Drosophila melanogaster: one gene and its partner. The protein of the gene in region 1 purifies or fractionates together with the protein of each later gene. This does not show direct contact. Each region holds a gene or a part of one and is shown on either strand. Other genes may lie near its edges.

Region 1 (11,068 bases):
GATTATAATTAAATCATACACCTATACTTCGCTTAGCGACTTAGTAAACCGATTTTAGTTTAATTTGATTTGCAACTAGCCACGTGCAACTAGTCCACGGTCACAATTTGAAAAAAGAATCACTTTATTTTGATTTCAGATCGATCGGGGGCGAGTGTGCGAAATGAACAATTTTGATTATAACACTCCTTAAAAGCGTTAAACGAGATATAGGTGTACATCGAGCTGTTTTGTTTAACCGTAAGTTATTGCTTTAATGGCGCTGAATTTCGATTCATTAATAAAGTGCTCGTTTAAGGGGGGACAGGGTCTTTAATTTTAAACACAACAATTCAAAGTTAGTGGTAGTGGTAGGCGGGAGGCAAAGTAAAATTAAGAGTCGTTTAGGACACTTCGTACAATTCTCCGATTCGGTTCTTTTTGGCACATTGCTGCACTTTATATTTTGCCATGTACTACAACAAGTGGTGGTTTCTCATAATCTTCATAAATAAATATACATAGGTCGTATGCTATAAGAAATTGCTGTACAACAACAAGTGAAGCGTGTAGTGGGTGGTTGTCGGGTGCTTGAAACATTGGTAGTTATGATATTCTTAATATTTTAAGCATAGCGAGCAAGTAGGGTGAGCTTTGCATTTGGTATGGCTCGTTTGGGGCATCTGGTCGGTTATCAATCCATTTTTAGAGTGTAGAAAATAAATTTGATCTAAAATGTCAGTCTATTGCGCAAAATCTACATTTGACGTGATTTCTACCCGATTTTCGTTAGTTTAGTTTAGTTGCTTCTTTTCTTTCATTTGTTTCTTTTGTTTTCCTTCTTGTATTTCGTATATAAAAAATTCCCTAATATTTATGCATCTTGTATCGTTCGTTCAGCTCAATCAATCCGCCATCCGCAATTCGTGTGCGATTGCATGGCGTTGCGATGCGATTCCGTCCGATCTCTGATCCTTTCCGATCCGTTGCACGTCGTCCTTGATTCGTTGCCCGCATTAGATGCCGGGTCAGGCGGACGAGCAGGTGGGGATCGGAAGTCGGAAATCGGGTATCAGGGGAGGAATCGGTCTCCTACGGCAACTAAATACGTCATACAGCTATTGCTACTACTGATCTACGACTACTTAGTGGCTACGGGGCACTTAACCTAGCTTCGTGTATGCGTAGGCGCAGATCACGCCCACCACAACACCAGCGGCAATATATGTGAGTAATGACCTTCGTTTCTTTGCCGCCAGCTGTTTGTCCTCGTTCTCCCGCTGCTTCCGCTTCATGTCGTTGACCTTCTGCTCCAGGCTGGCCTGGTATTCGTTGCGTTTTCGCCGCTTCAGCTCGTTCTCGGGACTGAAAAGTACGAATTTGGAAGGGGATTAGAGGGATTTTTGTTTGACTAGGCGGTTGAAAAATAGATACTGAGCAGATCTAAGACTAGATTCTTACCTGGCTGGGAGCTGGCCTGGAATTGGATCGATGCCGTTCGCCTTGTGCTGCTCGTCGACTGGCACCGCTGGCTTCTCGTTGTTGGCATTAACATCGTCGGCATGTGGCTGTGTTGTCGCGGGCACGTGTCCATTAACTGGATCGGCATCGTGCTCGTTAATGGTCTCGTACTCCTCATCCTCATCGGTGTCGTCCTCGTCATCGTCATCCAGCAAGTAATCCTCATCGCTGTCCGAATCGTTGAAAGCCCTTACGGGTAATGGCGGCAAGGGACGACTGTCGGCCACCTCGGCATCGTGGATCATGTCGTGCTGATTAATGAAGTTGTTCAGGGCGTCCTTGCTCAGCTCTTTGCCGATACTTTCAGCTCCATTAGCCTGGGCCGCGCGCATATTGAGCGAAAGTATACCGCCGGAATTGGGGGCCAGTGGCAGATTAAGCGATTGGACGCGTGGGGGCAATGGCGGCGGCAGCTCATCCAGTGTGTGAGTCTCTGTGTCGTTGCTAATGAGGGGTTCTTCAGCGTCAAGAAAGGTCTGAAGAGAAATCAAATGTTCTAATTAGTCGCGGAAAATAATCAGGGCCTTCACAGAAATCTCTGCAAACCAAAAACAATGGTTTCTTTTTCGCATCAATTAAACAATAATCATTAAGCTGATACTAGATCACATAATAAAAAACAAAACTAAACATAATACAGTTTTCAAAAGTAATCATAATTCCATTAAACAATATGAATTCTAGTAACCATAACCAAGCCCAGAGATTTCTGTGACCCCCCAGAATAAATAGCGATGTGCAATATATACGGCGGTGCTTGGCAGCCCCCAAGTTTGACTCCCAAACGCCGACCGCTGGTCGCGCATACATACGGGATCGTGCAGCTTTTTAATGCCCTCGATGATCGCCTGGTAGGAGAAGTCCAGCTGGTCGGCGGTCTGTATGAGGCCCATGCGGTAGCTGCGCAGCTCGCAGAGCACCTTGGACACATTGCACTCTCCGTACTTGTCGATAAGTACCAGGCAACAGTCCACCAGGCAGAAGGTGCCCGACCGCCCGATTCCGGCACTGCAGTGCACTACGGCTGGACCCACGTCGCGGCTGAGGCAGCCGGAGTCGCGAACCTGCTGCAAGAACTTAAGGAATGCGTTCGGCGAGCTGGGAATGCCAAAGTCCGGCCATGTGGTGTAGTGGAACTGCATCACTTCACGACTCTGCTGCGTTTCGAGATCGGTTAATCTAGAGAAATAGTCAAAGGCAATTAGTCCACATGTACAAATGGTTTGAAGCAGAAGAAGAATAAAGAGTTCTACTCACTTGAACCATCGCCGCACAAAGTTCTGGTAGGTCTCGAGACGGACGAGCTCCACGGTGAGTTTGACGTGGGGCAGTTTCAGGGCCTTGTCGGCTCCCATCTCGTTGGGCCAGTAGAGGTGGCACTTGATCTGTTTCTTCTCCATCAGCTTGTTGAGCATGAGAACTGCTCTGGACTTCTGCTCCCATACCATCAGCCAGAAGTGGCCCACTGTGTCCACCAGCGGTCCTTGGGTCAGGATGTACTGGCGCTCGGCGCGCTCCAGCTAGAAAGGATTGATTGATCGCATTAGGCGTTTAATTAGGGGTGTGTGTATGCATTAAAAACGTGACCCACCTGAACCAGGTTCGCATTGATGTAGTCTACGCTGCCGCGCTTCAAAACAATGCGGGAATGATCGTACGGATTCACATCCCGATAGCGATTCAGGCCGCGGTTCGTGTGGCGTTCCGATTCCGAGGTGCTGAACTGCTTCTCCTTCGCCTCCCGGTCGCAGGTCTCACAAATTTCCTGGAATTCCGAAAAGAGCGATTAGTACAATCGAAACTACCCATAACAACAAAGGTTGAGGTGGTATTAAAATTCGGTCGCTTTACTGACAACTTATCAGTCAATTTGCAGGCGGTAATTCAGGGGATTTTGTGAGATTTGCGCTATTTACCTAAGCGTTCCAGACCCCAGAAGACAACTACTATAGTGTCTTACTGGAAGATCTCTTCTTTCTGGTACAAAATTCGTAAAAAATATAGTTTTCGTGTTACTCAATTATCTAAGACAGTAATAAGACCAAAAGTTCAAACTAATTAAACATTTATGCATGAAATGACCCAACGAATTCTTCGATACAAGAGCAAACAGCAAATAGCAGTGCACAATAGTATTGAATGGCATTGTTAAAACGAATATCAGAGCTTCCTTTTAGAACCATACAAACTGAGAAACTGTAAGGCGCAATTAAGCTTTTTACGATTTGTGTTCCGAGAAAATGAAAACGTTCAGACTCATAATGGTCTGATAATAACTAGTTTTAAAGTGATACATTTGTTTGACTGACTCGCAAACAAATTGTCAAGAAACGAATTGATAAGATCCTGTTAGAAGAATGCTAGAATGTTACAGAAATCGAATTTGTTTTTTTCCATGGGGGTTGCCCCCTTTGCAGTGATTCATCACTTGGCCCAGCGACAAGGGGCTCCTCCGGATTGGCAAACCCTGCGATTGAAGCGATAGTAGATACATGTAAGGGGCATCGGACTGGGAGGGAACCATGCGGCATATGAAAAGCCCACCCAGTCTACATAGCGGGCGTGACTAATTAGCCATGCGATGTTGGTGATGGCGATGGCAAAGCAAGCTGTCGGTAATGGCATTATCTTGGGCATGACCGGTGCGGCATTATCAGCAGTGTGAACGGGGAATTGCTGGCGCAGCTGAAAGTGGCCCCGCCAATTGAACCATCGAATCCGACTACCGAACCGTTAACAAGGTCAATGGCAACCACCTGGCGACGACAAGTGCTCCTTAAACTCGGCTCAAAGCTAATCACATGCATGCGGTGATGAGTAACCATTTAATATGGTTACCCATCAGCTCGCGTTGATTGCAGCTCGAAAATCAGTTGTTAATTGTCAGTTCGTCATGTTTCAACAATGAATCAGCTGCAAATTCTGCAGCTGACCTGTTATGAAATAACTTTAAAGAGTCATATTTTTACGTAATCTCCAAATCTGAGACGGGCTAATGACCGATAAGGAAGCTTTTCAAAGAGCAAAATCTCAATGGCTATCGCTACATTTGATAATTCGTAATTAGAAACGGAAAGAAATCCATGGTTGCACTTAATATTTCTCGAAACTCCTCAACTCAATAGCATTTCTACAATCACCTATTTAAGGTCTGATAATCGACGAGTCACGTGAGAATACGCGCAGATAATTGAGCTGCTTTATTTAAATGTTTGCCAATGATAAAGACTTTCAGTGTACTTATGATGTATAAAGTTGTATTCCTTGTACTATATCAAACTAGATATGATATATAAAATCAACAATCCATCCGGAACTTATGTAAATCCATAGCTTGGATTGGATTCATTCTGATGGAGAAAACAGTTCTTCGGCTCCGTTGAACATTAAGTCTTGGGCCGTTTACCAGCTACATACTGTTTTTTATGCTCGGTGGCTATCCAGGTGACCCTTCTAAACGGAGTGGCGAAATCCAAGCGAAGGCGCGGAAATCTCGGGGGCTTTGGTTTCCAAAGCGTGTCGTGCAAACCGTTTTATGGTTATTATGTTTCTGCTTTACCTTGCAACGCTCGAAGGAAATCGAGAAACAGTAACAAAAACATTGCATGCACGCAGAGCACAATTGCAACGATGGATAAAGACTTCTTGGCCAATACGAATTTGACATACCCTTTCACACACACTATGCGAGTTAACAAGTTTCATATTTCATAAAATCTGGCTTGACTGTTTCCAGAGAAACGAAAAAGAAGACGGTCACCTGTTGATACCAACGACTGGTAAGGACTATAACACCCTCTGGCAGGGTATAGCTGTGGAGGAGCTTCGTCACAGTCCACGGAGGTTGTCATAATGGGACGGAGTGGGTTGGGTGGGATGTTGATGGAACGGATGGATCGAGAAGGCGCTAGGTATGAGCTGATAGGCGGGGAGGGGCGGCGAGTTGAGAAGACCCAGTGTAACGCACTTCGTTCAATGGAAATGATTAAACATAAAGCAAAGCATAGCAAAACAATACGGTCCGAATGCGTCACTGCGTTTTTGGCTACAGTCCAAATCCCCTATGATGGGCTATCATATGGCAAATGTCAAATAAATTGGAAGTTTTAATGATAACCACAAAATTAGTTGTACCGTTTATGTTCACACATATTTGCGATTTATTAATTCTTAGAAGAATGTGTTTTGGAATTTCTATAATAAAGACAGATAAGTGCCTATAATGGATTATAATTTTCTTCAGAAATGTAGTAGCATGCACAGCTAAATGTTATTAAAGTAAAAATTGGGGTAGGTCGGTCTTATTCATAAAGTAATCATCGAAAAATGTGATGTTTTCACATTGATCATAGTTGTTTTTCATTGCAACAAAAATGAGTCAACGTTTACATGCTATGGAACATATAAAATTCAGCGAATTTAGATGAATTTCACGAAAGTAATATTATCAAGCTGAAAACTATTTATGATTTAATGAGAAAATATGATTAAAGAAAGTTTATTGAAATCTCACTTTGGCCTAACAAGATCGTCTTAGTCAAGTTGCACTGTATTTCAGTGGAAATGGCTGGTAGCTATTTTCCAGTCAGTTTCGACGCACAATTGCGGGCTGCCTTCCAGTTAGCTGGAAAATTAGATTATCCTCGACGCGAGCACAAAGGATGACGAACGAGGATGCCGAGGAGCGGGTCCAGAAACGAGATATTTCTACACACGACCATATACTGTGTCATCCTAACTGCGGAGTGGAATTCCGTGAAATCCCAATTCAAGTGAGTGGAAGCGCTGAAAGAGGCACAGAGGAACAGAGGAGGAGGAGTAGCAGCTGAAGACAGTTCGCCGGAACTGGCTATAAAGAACGAGTGGAGGTGGAGGAGGAGAGAAGAAGGGGCAAGGAGAGGATTCCGACTCCAATTCCGACAGGCAACCAGAAGCAGCCCAAAGCGAGACTCAAAAAACCAGACGCATGCCCTTTGTGCCCCTGTGTGCGTGAGCCTCTCTCTCCTGCTCAACGCGAGCGGGTGTGTGTGTGTGTGCGCGCGTTAGAGGAGTTCTTCAGTGGAGAGCACTGTCACCCCTCCACGAATTGTATTTTGTTTTTGGGGGACGGCAATCACAAACACAACGAGCTTCCCAGAAATCGCCTCCAATTTGATTTGGCCAAACGAGAATTCGCGGAATAGCTCAAGCGCTCTATTGATAGTCAAAGGAAAGCGTTTTTGGGGAAAGGTATGGCAGAATAACAAGCATAAATATGCCAAATACAGGCCAATACACACGCACGAACTCACACACACACGCGTTCGATGGAGAATGCAAAGTAAAGTGCAGCAGGTGTGCGTGTATGTGTGTTGGTGCTATTCTGTTTGTACATTCTTTTCCATGGGTTTTTGTTTTTGGCCAAAGCCTGGCTGTTAAAGCAACAACTGCAACAACAACAGCACTGACACACAATACACACGCACACACGTAAAGCTCGCCGCTGCACTGGTGTTGGTGGTGGAGGCATCTGCAGAAGCCTTTTGCGCACTCATCACATTTTCGTGGAAATCGGAGCGCCAAGGAGCTGTGGAAAGGTGTATACTCCGCATCCGTTGCGAATCCTTGGCGAATCGAACTGTGCCACAATCATTCGTCCAGTTTGTAACCAGTTTTCAGTGCAGTCGCAGTTGTTGTTGCCAATTACCTTGTAGAAGCGATGCCATTGCGGCCCCTTGTCCTTGTACTCCGCCTCGATTTGCAGACGGGCAGCGGCCGCCGACCCACTCCCACTCGTTTTCTGCTCGCTCATTGTGCACACTTTGCTGCGATTTGTTCCGATTTAATAACTTTTAATTTGGTTATCAGGCGGCTGGTTAATTTCAGAGGAGAACTAGAGCTGGACAACTCACGACAGTGTCGATGTATCGAATATTTGAGCTTGCGAAATACTATCGGTATTTGCAGTGCGATACCGAGTGATAGTTCGATTGTACATCACTATATTGATCGCATTACATATTATATTCTCTTATGGTGATTCCTATTTACAAATGCAAGCCAAACACAATATATTGTATCTGCGACATTATTATTCTGAAATATTAGTTACGTCTATCGATATTTTCACCATCAAATAATGTGACCAGGCGCTGTAGAGCAATAGAACACATACTGAAACTAAAGTGCTTGCGCAGAAATTAGAACTTTACTGAAACATAATATAACATTCGGGATAAGTTTTCTATAATTTATATAAAATTAAATACTTAACTAAAGACATAACAATATAAAAACAATTGAAATAAAATATTTTAAATAAAAATAAAATAAAAAAAATAAAATAAAATATTTTAAAAGTAAAATAGAAAAATTCTGATAAGAAAATTGGGTTCAAATACTTTAAAATACCGATATTACAATCGCTCATCGTTGACCAGTGTTATCGAGTAATACCAAAAGTATCGAATCAACAACTGTTACCCAATTTATTAATAACAACAGAAAGAAGCCAAAGCAAAATGCTGACCCGCGTGTTCCGCCTAGTGCACGACAGGCGCCTGAGTGTGCCTGTCCTGCGTTGCTTCCACCACGAGTTCTCCAAGCCGCCACAACAGGCAGCGAAGGGCCAGGAAATCGAAGGCAATCCCGAAAAGACTTTGGTTGCCGGCGTGCAAGACAAGTACAAAATATTCCGCGATGAGGAAGCCACGGAGATTTTTGATGTGGAAGAGGCACGCCACCAGGAGCAGCAACTTCCAGAGCCGGACCTGGAGCTGGATCACTATTACGGCCTCAATTTAAAGCGTAGGTTGGCAATCGTCCAGGGAGAGCAGAAATTTAAGCCTTTGTTTCCCTTTGCAGGAGGTGTTCGCGGAGTGTTCGACGTTGAGGACTTGGTGGAGCTGCTCCGCAAGGAGAATGTGGACGACATATTCGTCTGCTACGTGCCGGAGAACCTGAAGTACGTTGACCACCTGGTGGTTTGCAGTGGTCGCAGTTACCGACACATGCTGTCCACCGCGGAGTTCGTGCGCCGAATGTTCAAGATCAAGCGGGGCAAGGGTGACATATTGCCGCGCATCGAGGGCGATAAGAGCCGGGATTGGATGGCCATGGACTTGGGTGGGTATTGAAATAAATGCATATTCCGGTTTCTCCGCTCTAACACGTTCCGTTTCCTTTTAGGCAACATTGCCCTGCACATATTTTCACCGAGTGCTCGCGAGGAATACGATCTGGAGTCGCTGTGGGCCATTGGCTCCGAATTCGACCGCGAAAGCCAAAAACCCACCAATCCCTATGGCGATATTTTCATGGCTCAAACACCCCTTTCTTTCGTAGACAAATCGAAACTAAAGACGTAAAATAATACATTTCACTATTAATAAAAAAAAACTCTTTAGAGCTGCGTACGTGCGAGATCACTTGCAGTGTGATTTGGAAAAACAATAAGGTATGAATAAATATTTCGTGTCAGACTTGTTATTCTCGTGTCACGGCCAAAATAACTATGCGATCGCCCATCTCTAGTTTCTTACTGGGTGCATTCGCTCAGGCAGCCATCTTTAAAATAACTGTAATTTTTATTAACATCGAGCTCTAATAGGGCAATAATAGCCATAATCCGTCAGAATATGACAGCAGTATTTCCAAACAGGAGCTAAATTCTTTTGTAGATGGCCAAGCGACGCTAGCGCCACCTATTTCTGAAAATCTGATAATAACAAGTGCGCACTAAAGTATACTGCAAAAAATGAAAATAACTCTTCTTTTCAGAGAATAAAGGCAGATTCCCTTATATCTATGAAATGTCACAATCAAATTGTTATATATTTGATATGTGATGTATTTTAATTTGTCTTTATCGAATATTGTCGGTATATCTGGTTGTAGCAACGCGTCGGAACATTTTCTCCATTCAACTGGAAGATGCAACAATAGACAGTTAATCCTGTAATTTAGGGTTTTAATAACTTTAAGAAGCCGTACAGTTTGATAGATAACAAATTGTAATAAAAACGCAAAATAATATATTATGAACCAGAAAGCATTCCAATGATTTTATACTTCACAATCGAATTTCCCATTCATTCAGAGAAAGCCATTAAACTCAAATCTCAATGGCTCGAATATATCCTGCGGCGTTTTTTAACGACTGTTTGCTCAAAATATAAATACGCCCACTCAACGATGTTCATTGTGTTTTTATAGTCATCGGGCGAGGTGTGAACAAGGCTGTTTTCAGCACATTGATTTGTGGATTTGCACCGGCCAGCGGAATGCTGAATGAAATTGGAAAATCAGGGAACTAGGGTCCAAGAAGGAGATCCTCCTGGCATTTGGAAATCATTTCTTCGCAGGCCATCAGCGCCAGTTGCGTCACGAGGAGAATTCGAACTTAATATTTTTAAAATACGTTTTCGAAAATAAGTTATCGATGGTGTTTATGAAAACAAACAATGGCCAGTCCGGCGAACGGTGCGATAATCCAATGAGCCAAAGAGCCAGACGGACGCCAATTGGCCGACACATGATAGGCGTTAAATTTTATGAAATTGCTGAAAATCTTGAAATGCCAATTAACGGCTTTAATACAATTTGTCGACGTCAATCAGCAATGATGGAGCAGCGAGTGGAGTGAGGAGGATTGGGCTACGGCCGCTCGTTTCACTTTTCCACTTGGCCATGTGATGTGATATGGGAGGAACTTTCCGCTGGGGGATTTGGCGCGTCCATAATCAGCCCATAATCGCCGTATCGATGGGTTGAAAAACAAATTCCCTGGCCCGATGGGTCAGAGGTGAGCGAGAAGAAGTGCTGATGTTACATCTCATCACCTGGCAGATGCGGGGCATGGAAGGGGGCATATATGGAATCGATTAAATATGCTTTAATGGCCTGACAAGGGGTCAGCAGTTGTTGAGATCTGCCGTCATCAGTTTGGCTGCATAAAATGTAAATCTGATCACCAATCAAAGCTAGTAAGTGTGGATTAAATGCTTGATTGGCACGTATTAATGATACAATGTTAGTTACTAACTAATGCTGGCCATCTAGTAACTATAAGATAATGGAAATAATGAGCTAAGATAAGATTTGAGGCCTATTTCTCATCCTCAAGAACGACGCACAACATTAAACCTTTTTGATTATGTTCTCAGTTGTTTGATCTGAAAAACTCTTTCTTTGAAAAATCATAGTGTTTATCCGTCAGAATATTAGATTATTCTAACAATCAGACCAAGACGGGAACCACCGGAATATAACTCTGCGCCAAGTGGACTCATTATTTGCCGTATGTGGGGGCGTTGGGCGAAAAGAAGGCGCAATTTTCCCGATAAATACAAATAAATAAAGCCGCGTGGAGCAGACAAAAAAAAAACACAAACGCACAGAGCAGCTCCTGGTCCATCAACCAGGTCATCGCGAGATTCTGCACTCGCAGCTGAATTCTTCGTAGAAATGTGATTACCACCCACTGATCTGTAGACAGACGGGTTAGAAAGGGATGCAGGTCGGGCAAACGACCAGTTGAGCGATCCAAGTGACGTCACTGTGCTGGCGATGATGATGCAGCCACTTAGAT
Region 2 (9,203 bases), about 21 Mb from region 1:
CATATTTCTCCTTATCAGAGCTTAGCGTAAGTTTTCGAACATTGAGTTCGCTAAGAATGAAGTCCTGCAAGGTCTTGATTGCCTCCAGGATTTGCGAGTCCTTGTGAATTGCTATGATCTCCGAAACAGGATACTTAACAGGCAAGGTTCTTCGATCCCGCATTACACGACCCAGCTCGACAACTGATTGCATCAAAGCCACCGAGCGCTCAATATCGTTTCGAATAAATTTTTTCTGACTGACCGGCATCATCTGGTAGTGAACTGAGTCAGCATGCTCTAGGGTTCCGGCTGGCTGGAACAATACCAGCCGCTGGAATATGTACTCCGTAAGGTAAGGCGTGAAAGGAGCCATCATTTTAACCATTGTGTATAGAACATCGTAAAGCGTGTCAAGTGATTGAATGCACTGATCAGCTCCCAATTCACCCTTGATGCGACGTCGATTTAGTCGAACATACCTGTAAGAGAATTGTTCACGCGTTAACTAACTCATGCTTAAATCATTAAATTTTATAGAACATACCAATTGGTAAGTTGATCAATGAACTTTGTCAGCCGGGGTACGACAGTGTACAGGCGATACATTTTCATCTCAGTGGCAAAGAACTCGAGTAAGGATTCCTTAAAAGACAAAATCCACACATCTATAACGGAGGCCTTGTCCATATTCTTTAAGTGGCGTTCACGATCATAAGTATATTGTCCATTTCCTGCCAAATCCTCCTTCTCATATCGAACGATATTTTGTAGTAAGAATCGGTATGCATTGTACCACGGTAGGAACACATCTTTGATTATGTCGCGCACACCTTCTTCCTTAAAACGCAGACTCTCGGCCCTTACGACGGGCGAATTGATAAGGTACAGTCGGAGAGCATCCGCTCCATACTTATGGACCACCTCCATTGGATCGGGATAGTTCTTCTTGCGCTTCGACATTTTTTGACCATCAGCAGCTAAGACCAGTCCACTTGCAATGAGGTTTTTAAATGGTGCCTTATTAAATAGCGCCGTCGAAATCACAAGGAGTGTGTAAAACCAGCCTCGGGTCTGATCGATACCCTCTGCTATAAAGTCAGCCGGGAAATTGTTCATAAAGTCCTTTTCGTTTTCAAAAGGGAAATGCTGTTGTGCGAACGGCATTGAACCTGATTCAAACCAACAGTCAAAAACAGGAGCTATGCGACGCAGTGGTGGATTTCCAGGAACTGCCGATGGTATTTCAATGTGGTCGATACTTTCTCTATGAAGATCCTCGACTTGAACGCCGGAAAGCTCGGCTAACTGCTTGATACTGCCGATAACGACGGTCTCATCACCGCTAGGCGACCTCCAGATAGGAATCGGCGTGCCCCAGTAGCGATTGCGGGAGATCTAGATATATAATTTGATTTAAAAACATAACAAAAAAGTTTCCTTTACAAAACTTACAGCCCAATCTCTGGCCTCTTTCAGCCAGTTTCCAAAACGTTTCTCCTTGACGAAGTCCGGCACCCAGTACGTTTGGGAACTGCAATCAAGCAGGTTTTTAGACATGTGCTCGACGCGCACAAACCAGGAAGGAACCGCCTTATAGATAAGAGGCGTGTCTGACCGCCAGCAGAATGGGTAGCTATGCTTCACCTGGCCACTGGAAACCAAGTTTCCTCGTGCCTTCAGCGCGGCCATTATTTGCTTATCAGAATCTTTGACGTATTGGCCCTCGAAATCGCTTGCCTCGTTAGTAAACCGTCCTGCCTCGTCCACTGGGCAGAGAACCTCACTGGACTTTGTGATGAGGCCCGCAGCGAGGCACACACGATAATCGTCTTCTCCGAAGTAGGGAGCATTGTGCACAATACCCGTACCGGAATCCTCAGTCACGTACTCGTCGACCAGGACACGATAAGCTTTCACCTCAGCTCCTCGCTTCGCAAAGTAAGGGAAAAGCGGCTTGTAGTGAAGGTCCTTAAGGGTTTTGCCAACAAACTTTTCCTTCACTTCGTACTCCGTCTCCGATTTGTACACGTAAGAGAGACGAGACTCTGCGAGAACAAAAAGTCGGTCGCTCTTTACGTCGCGCACTTTTACATAGGTCATCGTCGGATGAACACAGCATGCGAAGTTTGAGGGCAGTGTCCATGGCGTGGTGGTCCACACTAGGAAGAAGGTATTGGGCAACGAAACGGCCTCCAGTGCAACTACTACGCAAGGGTCCACAACCTCCTTGTAGTTTTGGTTGGCCTCGAAGTTCGAAAGGGACGTTGTGCAGGCGGTGGAATAGGGCATCACCTTAACGCCCTGGTAGACCAGACCCTTGTCGAACAGTTGCTTGAAGATCCACCAAATGGACTCCATGTACCATGGGTACAACGTCTTGTAATCGTTCTTGAAGTCAATCCAGCGACCCACGCGCGTCACCACATTCTCCCACTCATCTGCGTAACGCATGACAATCTTCCGGCACTCGGCATTGTAGGCTGCGATTCCCATCTTGGCCACGTCCTCAGGACCCTTGATATTCAGCAGCTTGTCAATCTCGAACTCCACGGGCAGTCCGTGGCAATCCCAGCCGAAGCGACGGTCCACATGGTATCCCTGCTGGTATGCGTACCGTGTGACGATGTCCTTGATGGTGCCAGCAAGAATGTGTCCGTAGTGGGGCAGCCCGGTTGCAAAGGGCGGTCCATCGTAGAACGTGTATCTTGGAGGTGGAAAATTAGCACAAAATTTGGCGATCGGCTGATGCAATCGTATGCGGCACTTACTTGGGCTTTCCCTTCGACAGCTGGCTGCACTTTTCAAAGATATTTTCGTGTCGCCATTTCTGCAGTACGTTCTCCTCCTCGGCCGGGAAATTAATGTTCTCTGGCACCCGACACACGTCGTTCCGCTCTAGTTTTTTTCCCATGGCTGTCAAAGTTCACTGTTGTATTATTTATCAAGTAACAGAGCTTATTCGCCCACCTTTTATATCAGAAATTCAACTGACTTGCGGCGTTTTTGCGTGGCACACAACGTGCCCGAGGTACGGAACTAGTGGTTCATTAATCGCTCTCTAGCTCATGGGTTCGCGATATCGATAGTAGGTTCCGATGAGCGGCATCCTTGATAATCAGCTGACGACAGCACTGAAAAAAAAAGAAAGGCTTATTTACTATTAACAACTTTAATAAATTTGTTAGCCATAAGAATAAAAAACTGAACTGTAAGTTACTAAGTAAGAAAGCCATTGGCAATTGAATGAATAAACTATGCAATAGTTTTGAAAGCAATTATTCCTGACTTAGACAAATAATTCTAATAAATTAAAACCCCAAATACCAGCTATTATTAATTTGTAGTATAACCAAATTACTGTAATATATAATTATAAAAAAATTATCTTAAATTATATTAAGCCATATGTTTTTTTTCTCAGCAGTATATTTTCTTTTTAACAATCAATAGTTTAGCATATATATGGTAGCTATCGTTATCGATAGCAATATATCTTTGCTATCAGCCCATTGGTCATCACTAACGCGAAAACAAGAGGAAGAGTAATGTGTACACTTTTGTGTCGCTCCTTTTCGGCCAATTTAACAAACGAAAAAGTATAAGTACTGGGCAAATCAGCACTTGCACGCCTCCCAATACGTCTCGCCAGCGCACACCTGTGTTCTGGGCTCCACCGGAAACTCGCCTTCAGCCATTCGACGTCGCCAACAGTCATCGGATATGGCACGCCCAATTTTTCCGAACCAGCAGAAGATAGCTGAGAAACTAATCATCTTGAATGACCGCGGCCTGGGCATTCTTACGCGGATATACAACATCAAGAAAGCATGCGGCGACACCAAGTCGAAGCCAGGCTTCCTCTCCGAGAAGTCGTTGGAATCGAGCATCAAGTTTATCGTGAAGCGGTTCCCCAACATCGACGTCAAAGGGCTCAATGCTATTGTAAACATCAAAGCGGAGATTATTAAGTCGCTGTCCCTGTATTACCACACATTCGTGGACCTACTTGATTTCAAGGACAATGTATGCGAACTGCTCACCACGATGGACGCCTGCCAGATTCACCTGGACATCACATTGAACTTCGAGCTGACCAAATATTATCTGGACTTGGTTGTGACCTACGTGTCCTTGATGATTGTTTTGTCTAGGGTCGAGGACCGCAAGGCAGTTCTGGGCTTGTACAATGCCGCCTACGAGCTGCAAAACAATCAGGCGGACACGGGCTTCCCCCGCTTGGGGCAGATGATTCTGGACTACGAGGTCCCCTTAAAAAAGTTGGCCGAGGAATTCATTCCCCACCAGCGCCTGCTAACCAGTGCGTTGCGGTCGCTGACCTCCATCTATGCACTGCGAAACCTGCCAGCAGACAAGTGGAGGGAAATGCAAAAGTTGAGTCTGGTAGGCAATCCGGCCATTCTTCTTAAGGCCGTCCGCACTGACACCATGTCCTGCGAGTACATATCCCTGGAGGCAATGGACCGCTGGATAATCTTTGGCTTGCTGCTGAACCATCAAATGCTCGGACAGTACCCGGAAGTCAACAAAATCTGGCTCTCCGCCCTGGAGTCAAGCTGGGTTGTGGCCTTGTTCCGCGACGAGGTCCTGCAAATTCATCAATACATTCAGGCTACTTTCGACGGAATTAAAGGTTACAGCAAGCGGATCGGAGAAGTAAAGGAAGCCTACAACACGGCGGTTCAAAAAGCTGCTTTAATGCATCGGGAGCGGCGCAAGTTTCTTCGAACAGCCTTGAAGGAGCTAGCTCTTATTATGACCGACCAACCAGGCCTCCTGGGACCTAAGGCAATATTCATTTTCATCGGTCTTTGTCTTGCGCGCGATGAGATTCTATGGCTCCTCAGGCATAATGACAACCCACCTCTTCTCAAAAATAAAGGTTAGTTAAGGATTTTCTTACGATTAAATTAAAATTTGTGAACCTTAACTATTTTAAATTTATAGGAAAGAGCAATGAAGATCTTGTAGACCGACAGCTGCCGGAGCTCTTATTCCACATGGAGGAACTCCGCGCTCTTGTGCGTAAATACAGCCAGGTAATGCAGCGATATTACGTGCAATACTTGTCCGGATTCGATGCCACGGATCTTAATATTCGAATGCAAAGTCTGCAAATGTGTCCAGAAGACGAAAGCATAATCTTCAGTTCGCTCTACAACACGGCTGCAGCCCTGACAGTTAAGCAGGTGGAAGACAACGAACTCTTTTATTTCCGACCATTCCGCCTGGACTGGTTCCGCCTCCAAACGTACATGAGTGTGGGAAAGGCTGCACTTAGGATCGCAGAGCATGCAGAGCTGGCCCGCCTACTGGATTCAATGGTTTTCCACACTAGGGTGGTAGATAACTTGGACGAAATACTAGTAGAAACCTCGGATCTCAGTATCTTCTGTTTCTATAACAAAATGTTTGACGACCAATTCCACATGTGCTTGGAGTTTCCCGCGCAGAACCGCTACATCATAGCGTTTCCCTTAATCTGCAGCCACTTCCAAAATTGTACGCACGAAATGTGCCCGGAGGAGCGACACCATATACGTGAAAGGTCTCTCAGCGTGGTAAATATATTTCTTGAGGAAATGGCTAAGGAGGCTAAAAACATTATAACCACAATTTGCGATGAGCAGTGCACAATGGCAGACGCTCTATTGCCAAAACACTGTGCTAAGATTCTTTCCGTACAATCTGCTCGTAAGAAGAAGGACAAATCGAAGTCTAAGCATTTTGACGACATACGAAAGCCGGGAGACGAGTCGTACCGAAAGACACGAGAGGATCTGACGACGATGGACAAGTTGCACATGGCCCTGACGGAGCTTTGTTTTGCAATCAATTATTGCCCCACGGTCAACGTTTGGGAGTTTGCTTTTGCCCCTCGCGAGTATCTCTGTCAGAACCTGGAACACCGCTTTTCCCGGGATCTTGTTGGCATGGTGATGTTCAACCAGGAGACAATGGAGATAGCCAAGCCCTCGGAGCTGCTGGCCAGCGTTCGAGCCTACATGAACGTGCTGCAGACAGTAGAGAACTACGTGCACATAGACATAACACGAGTTTTCAACAACTGCCTGTTGCAGCAAACACAGGCTTTAGACTCTCATGGCGAGAAAACCATTGCCGCTTTGTACAACACCTGGTACAGTGAGGTTCTGCTAAGGCGTGTCTCCGCTGGCAACATTGTGTTCTCCATTAACCAAAAGGCTTTTGTTCCCATTTCGCCCGAGGGCTGGGTACCATTTAACCCGCAGGAATTCTCTGATCTCAACGAGCTGCGAGCACTTGCAGAACTTGTGGGACCTTACGGTATCAAAACATTGAACGAAACACTTATGTGGCACATAGCAAACCAGGTGCAAGAGTTGAAGTCGCTGGTGAGCACCAACAAGGAAGTGCTCATTACACTGCGAACCAGTTTTGACAAACCTGAAGTGATGAAGGAGCAATTTAAGCGCTTACAGGACGTGGACCGCGTGCTGCAACGCATGACGATCATTGGTGTGATCATATGTTTCCGCAACCTGGTGCATGAAGCCCTCGTTGATGTGCTGGACAAGCGCATACCCTTCCTGCTTAGCTCAGTGAAGGACTTTCAGGAACATTTGCCCGGAGGCGACCAAATTAGGGTTGCTTCCGAGATGGCCTCAGCAGCGGGTCTGCTATGCAAGGTAGACCCCACATTAGCAACTACACTGAAATCAAAAAAGCCAGAATTCGATGAGGGTGAGCACCTCACTGCCTGTCTACTGATGGTCTTTGTGGCAGTGTCTATACCAAAACTGGCCCGTAACGAAAATTCCTTCTACAGAGCCACAATTGATGGCCACTCAAATAACACGCACTGCATGGCGGCGGCCATTAATAACATCTTCGGAGCCCTGTTTACCATCTGCGGTCAAAGTGACATGGAGGACCGCATGAAAGAGTTCCTTGCTCTGGCCAGTTCTTCCCTACTGCGCTTGGGCCAGGAGTCCGACAAAGAGGCGACACGGAACCGAGAGTCCATCTATTTGCTGCTGGACGAAATCGTCAAACAATCGCCCTTCCTCACAATGGATCTGCTTGAGTCCTGCTTTCCCTACGTGCTTATACGCAACGCGTACCATGGCGTATACAAGCAGGAACAGATCTTAGGGCTGGCACTCTAAATGGAGCCGATCTGTGTATTCCACATAATGCTTATGTAGTTTATCCGCCGATCGACTATCGATCACTATGCTAATCTAACATACTTTAAAACTGTTAAACATACCCAAATGTATTCTAGACTCTGCATTTTTATACTCGTACGACTTCGAATAAAGTGCTTATACAACCCAAATAAGTATCCCACATTAATAAGCTGTCTCTAGATCGGATCGGTATGTATATTCTTTATTTCGGCTTATTGAAATATGTGTCCACTCCCGCGAACGTGCAGCTCCTCCGCTTCAATTTCTGTTAAATTTCATTTGGACACATGCGCACACGTGTGTGTATATTAAATATGAGTTTGGGGGAAAAATCTTCCGCAATATTAAATTATTTGGTCACGTTCAATGTTACTTTGTAGGCTTGTGTACAAATACTTGTAGGCAAGTAGTAAAATATGTTTTCGTTATTTTGTAATATGATTTCTCAGTAGTTATCATTGGTAGTATTTAAATTTCGATTTTGAGTTTTCAATTCCGATACAAAGACTTTTATGCAATGATTTATTATTGTTTTTAATTCTTTTTGAATTACATGATCTGGGATAGGTTCTTTTTCACGGATGGTTAAATGATAAGTTTTGCAAACCGAAATCGGGTAAGTAGGGCATCTTTTCAAATCTGCTCGTAATCAACATAGGCCTAAACATCTACAAATGGGTTCGGTTAAATGTACCAAAATCACTACACTCTGCTAAAAAGCTGTCAATATTTGAGTTTACATCTGTATTTGTGAACATTCTCGATATCTACAATGGGGTTTCGTTAATTATACACATACTTGCTTATTAATATTATAGAAGGTATTGTTATTTATGTGATGCTGAATATTTTGCTAGTTCGTACAATCTATTTAGCATTTCTCACTGATTTGGTTTTACTTGGTTTCGCATGAAAATGTATTCCTTTTCAGTCAGTCAGTTTAGGCATCTGTTGACTAAAAATTGTCGTCATTGTCTTTTGTTTTTGTTTCTCAGTTAATAAAAAATATATGTGTATATGTATGTATATACTTATATGCACGTCGTCGAAATAAAACTTGAAAAACATTTGCGCTACTTCTCTCGTTTGCTTTTGTCGTTAAAAGTAAAATCGCTTCTTTAGTAATTACATTTTAAAGCTCTCAAGTACAAAAATTAAAAAGCTTAAAAAATTCGACGCGGAACGCCCCCACATCGTCCGCATTTCGTAAGTGTAAAATGTGTGTGCTTCGATCGAGTCCTTTAATGCTAGCTCCTCATCCCATTTTCCTGCTACCTCCTCTTTATGGCAAATTGTTTGCATATAAAAGTTAAGCCTAGAAATACAATACGAGTACGAAATACGTATGTTATGTATGCAATATTTTACTGTGCCTATGCCTGTGTCTCTCTGGCTGTCTAGTCACTCCATGAGCCTCTTAGACGAACTCCTCCTGCTCCAACCACGGATGCTGCAGGCACTCCGCTGCCGACGCCCGTATAACCGGATTGTACTCAAGCATGGGCAGCAGAAAGTCGGAGAACTTCTTGGCCTCCACCGGGTCCCAGTCGTACTTCTCCACCAGCACGTTCATTAGACTCCAGGGCTTCAGCTTGGTGATGTTCCTCAGGCTACCTGCAAATGGGAATCAACAGGGGTCACACATCACACACCATTCCTTGAGCTAAATTCGATTTGATACCTACCATAGCTGGTGAAGTACTTCAGCCCGTGCTTACCGCGGAAGATCACCGACTGCGGTATGGAGCCCAGCAGCTCCACAATATGCGCCAAGTGGTCCTCGTCCCGACTGTAAGACTCTCCGGCGTGAGGGTCGAACAGGTAGTCGCCGGTGGCCAGCTCGAAGGCCAAACAGGCTGTGCTCCAGATGTCGGCGGTATAATTGTACGGCGCTCCCAAAAGAACCTCGATTGATCGATACTGGCGAGTCTGAATGTCCTCAGTAAAGTGATGGTACTGAGAATTCATAGAAAGCCGAAAACGGACTTATTACTTTTGAAAACCATGTGCGGGGTCGTGTTTCCGACCTTA

The links.
Region 2: the proteins of Ptp61F (region 1) and Hem purify together in Drosophila melanogaster (affinity purification with western blotting; one study listed by BioGRID). This does not show direct contact.

The regions. Positions count from the first base shown.
Region 1 is NT_037436.4:1,343,186-1,354,253, forward strand, and holds Ptp61F (protein tyrosine phosphatase 61F), read right to left. Parts: upstream 7,415-11,068; 5' UTR 7,292-7,414; coding exon 7,187-7,291; intron 6,358-7,186; exon of another isoform or gene 6,014-6,357; intron 3,266-6,013; coding exon 3,092-3,265; intron 3,021-3,091; coding exon 2,758-3,020; intron 2,680-2,757; coding exon 2,313-2,679; intron 1,977-2,312; coding exon 1,441-1,976; intron 1,345-1,440; coding exon 1,143-1,344; 3' UTR 798-1,142; downstream 1-797. Other genes in the region: CG9166 (uncharacterized protein), read left to right, coding at 8,001-8,286, 8,344-8,604, 8,668-8,846. UniProt on the Drosophila melanogaster protein: Non-receptor protein tyrosine phosphatase. Required for maintaining dock/dreadlocks in its non-phosphorylated state. Negative regulator of InR/insulin-like receptor signaling through dephosphorylation of tyrosines when recruited by dock/dreadlocks.
Region 2 is NT_037436.4:22,282,487-22,291,689, reverse strand, and holds Hem (HEM-protein), read left to right. Parts: upstream 1-3,494; 5' UTR 3,495-3,702; coding exon 3,703-4,882; intron 4,883-4,947; coding exon 4,948-7,148; 3' UTR 7,149-7,336; downstream 7,337-9,203. Other genes in the region: IleRS (Isoleucyl-tRNA synthetase), read right to left, coding at 1-461, 527-1,377, 1,435-2,686, 2,751-2,893; Srpk79D (Serine-arginine protein kinase at 79D), read right to left, coding at 8,590-8,786, 8,858-9,128. UniProt on the Drosophila melanogaster protein: Plays a role during growth of the oocyte.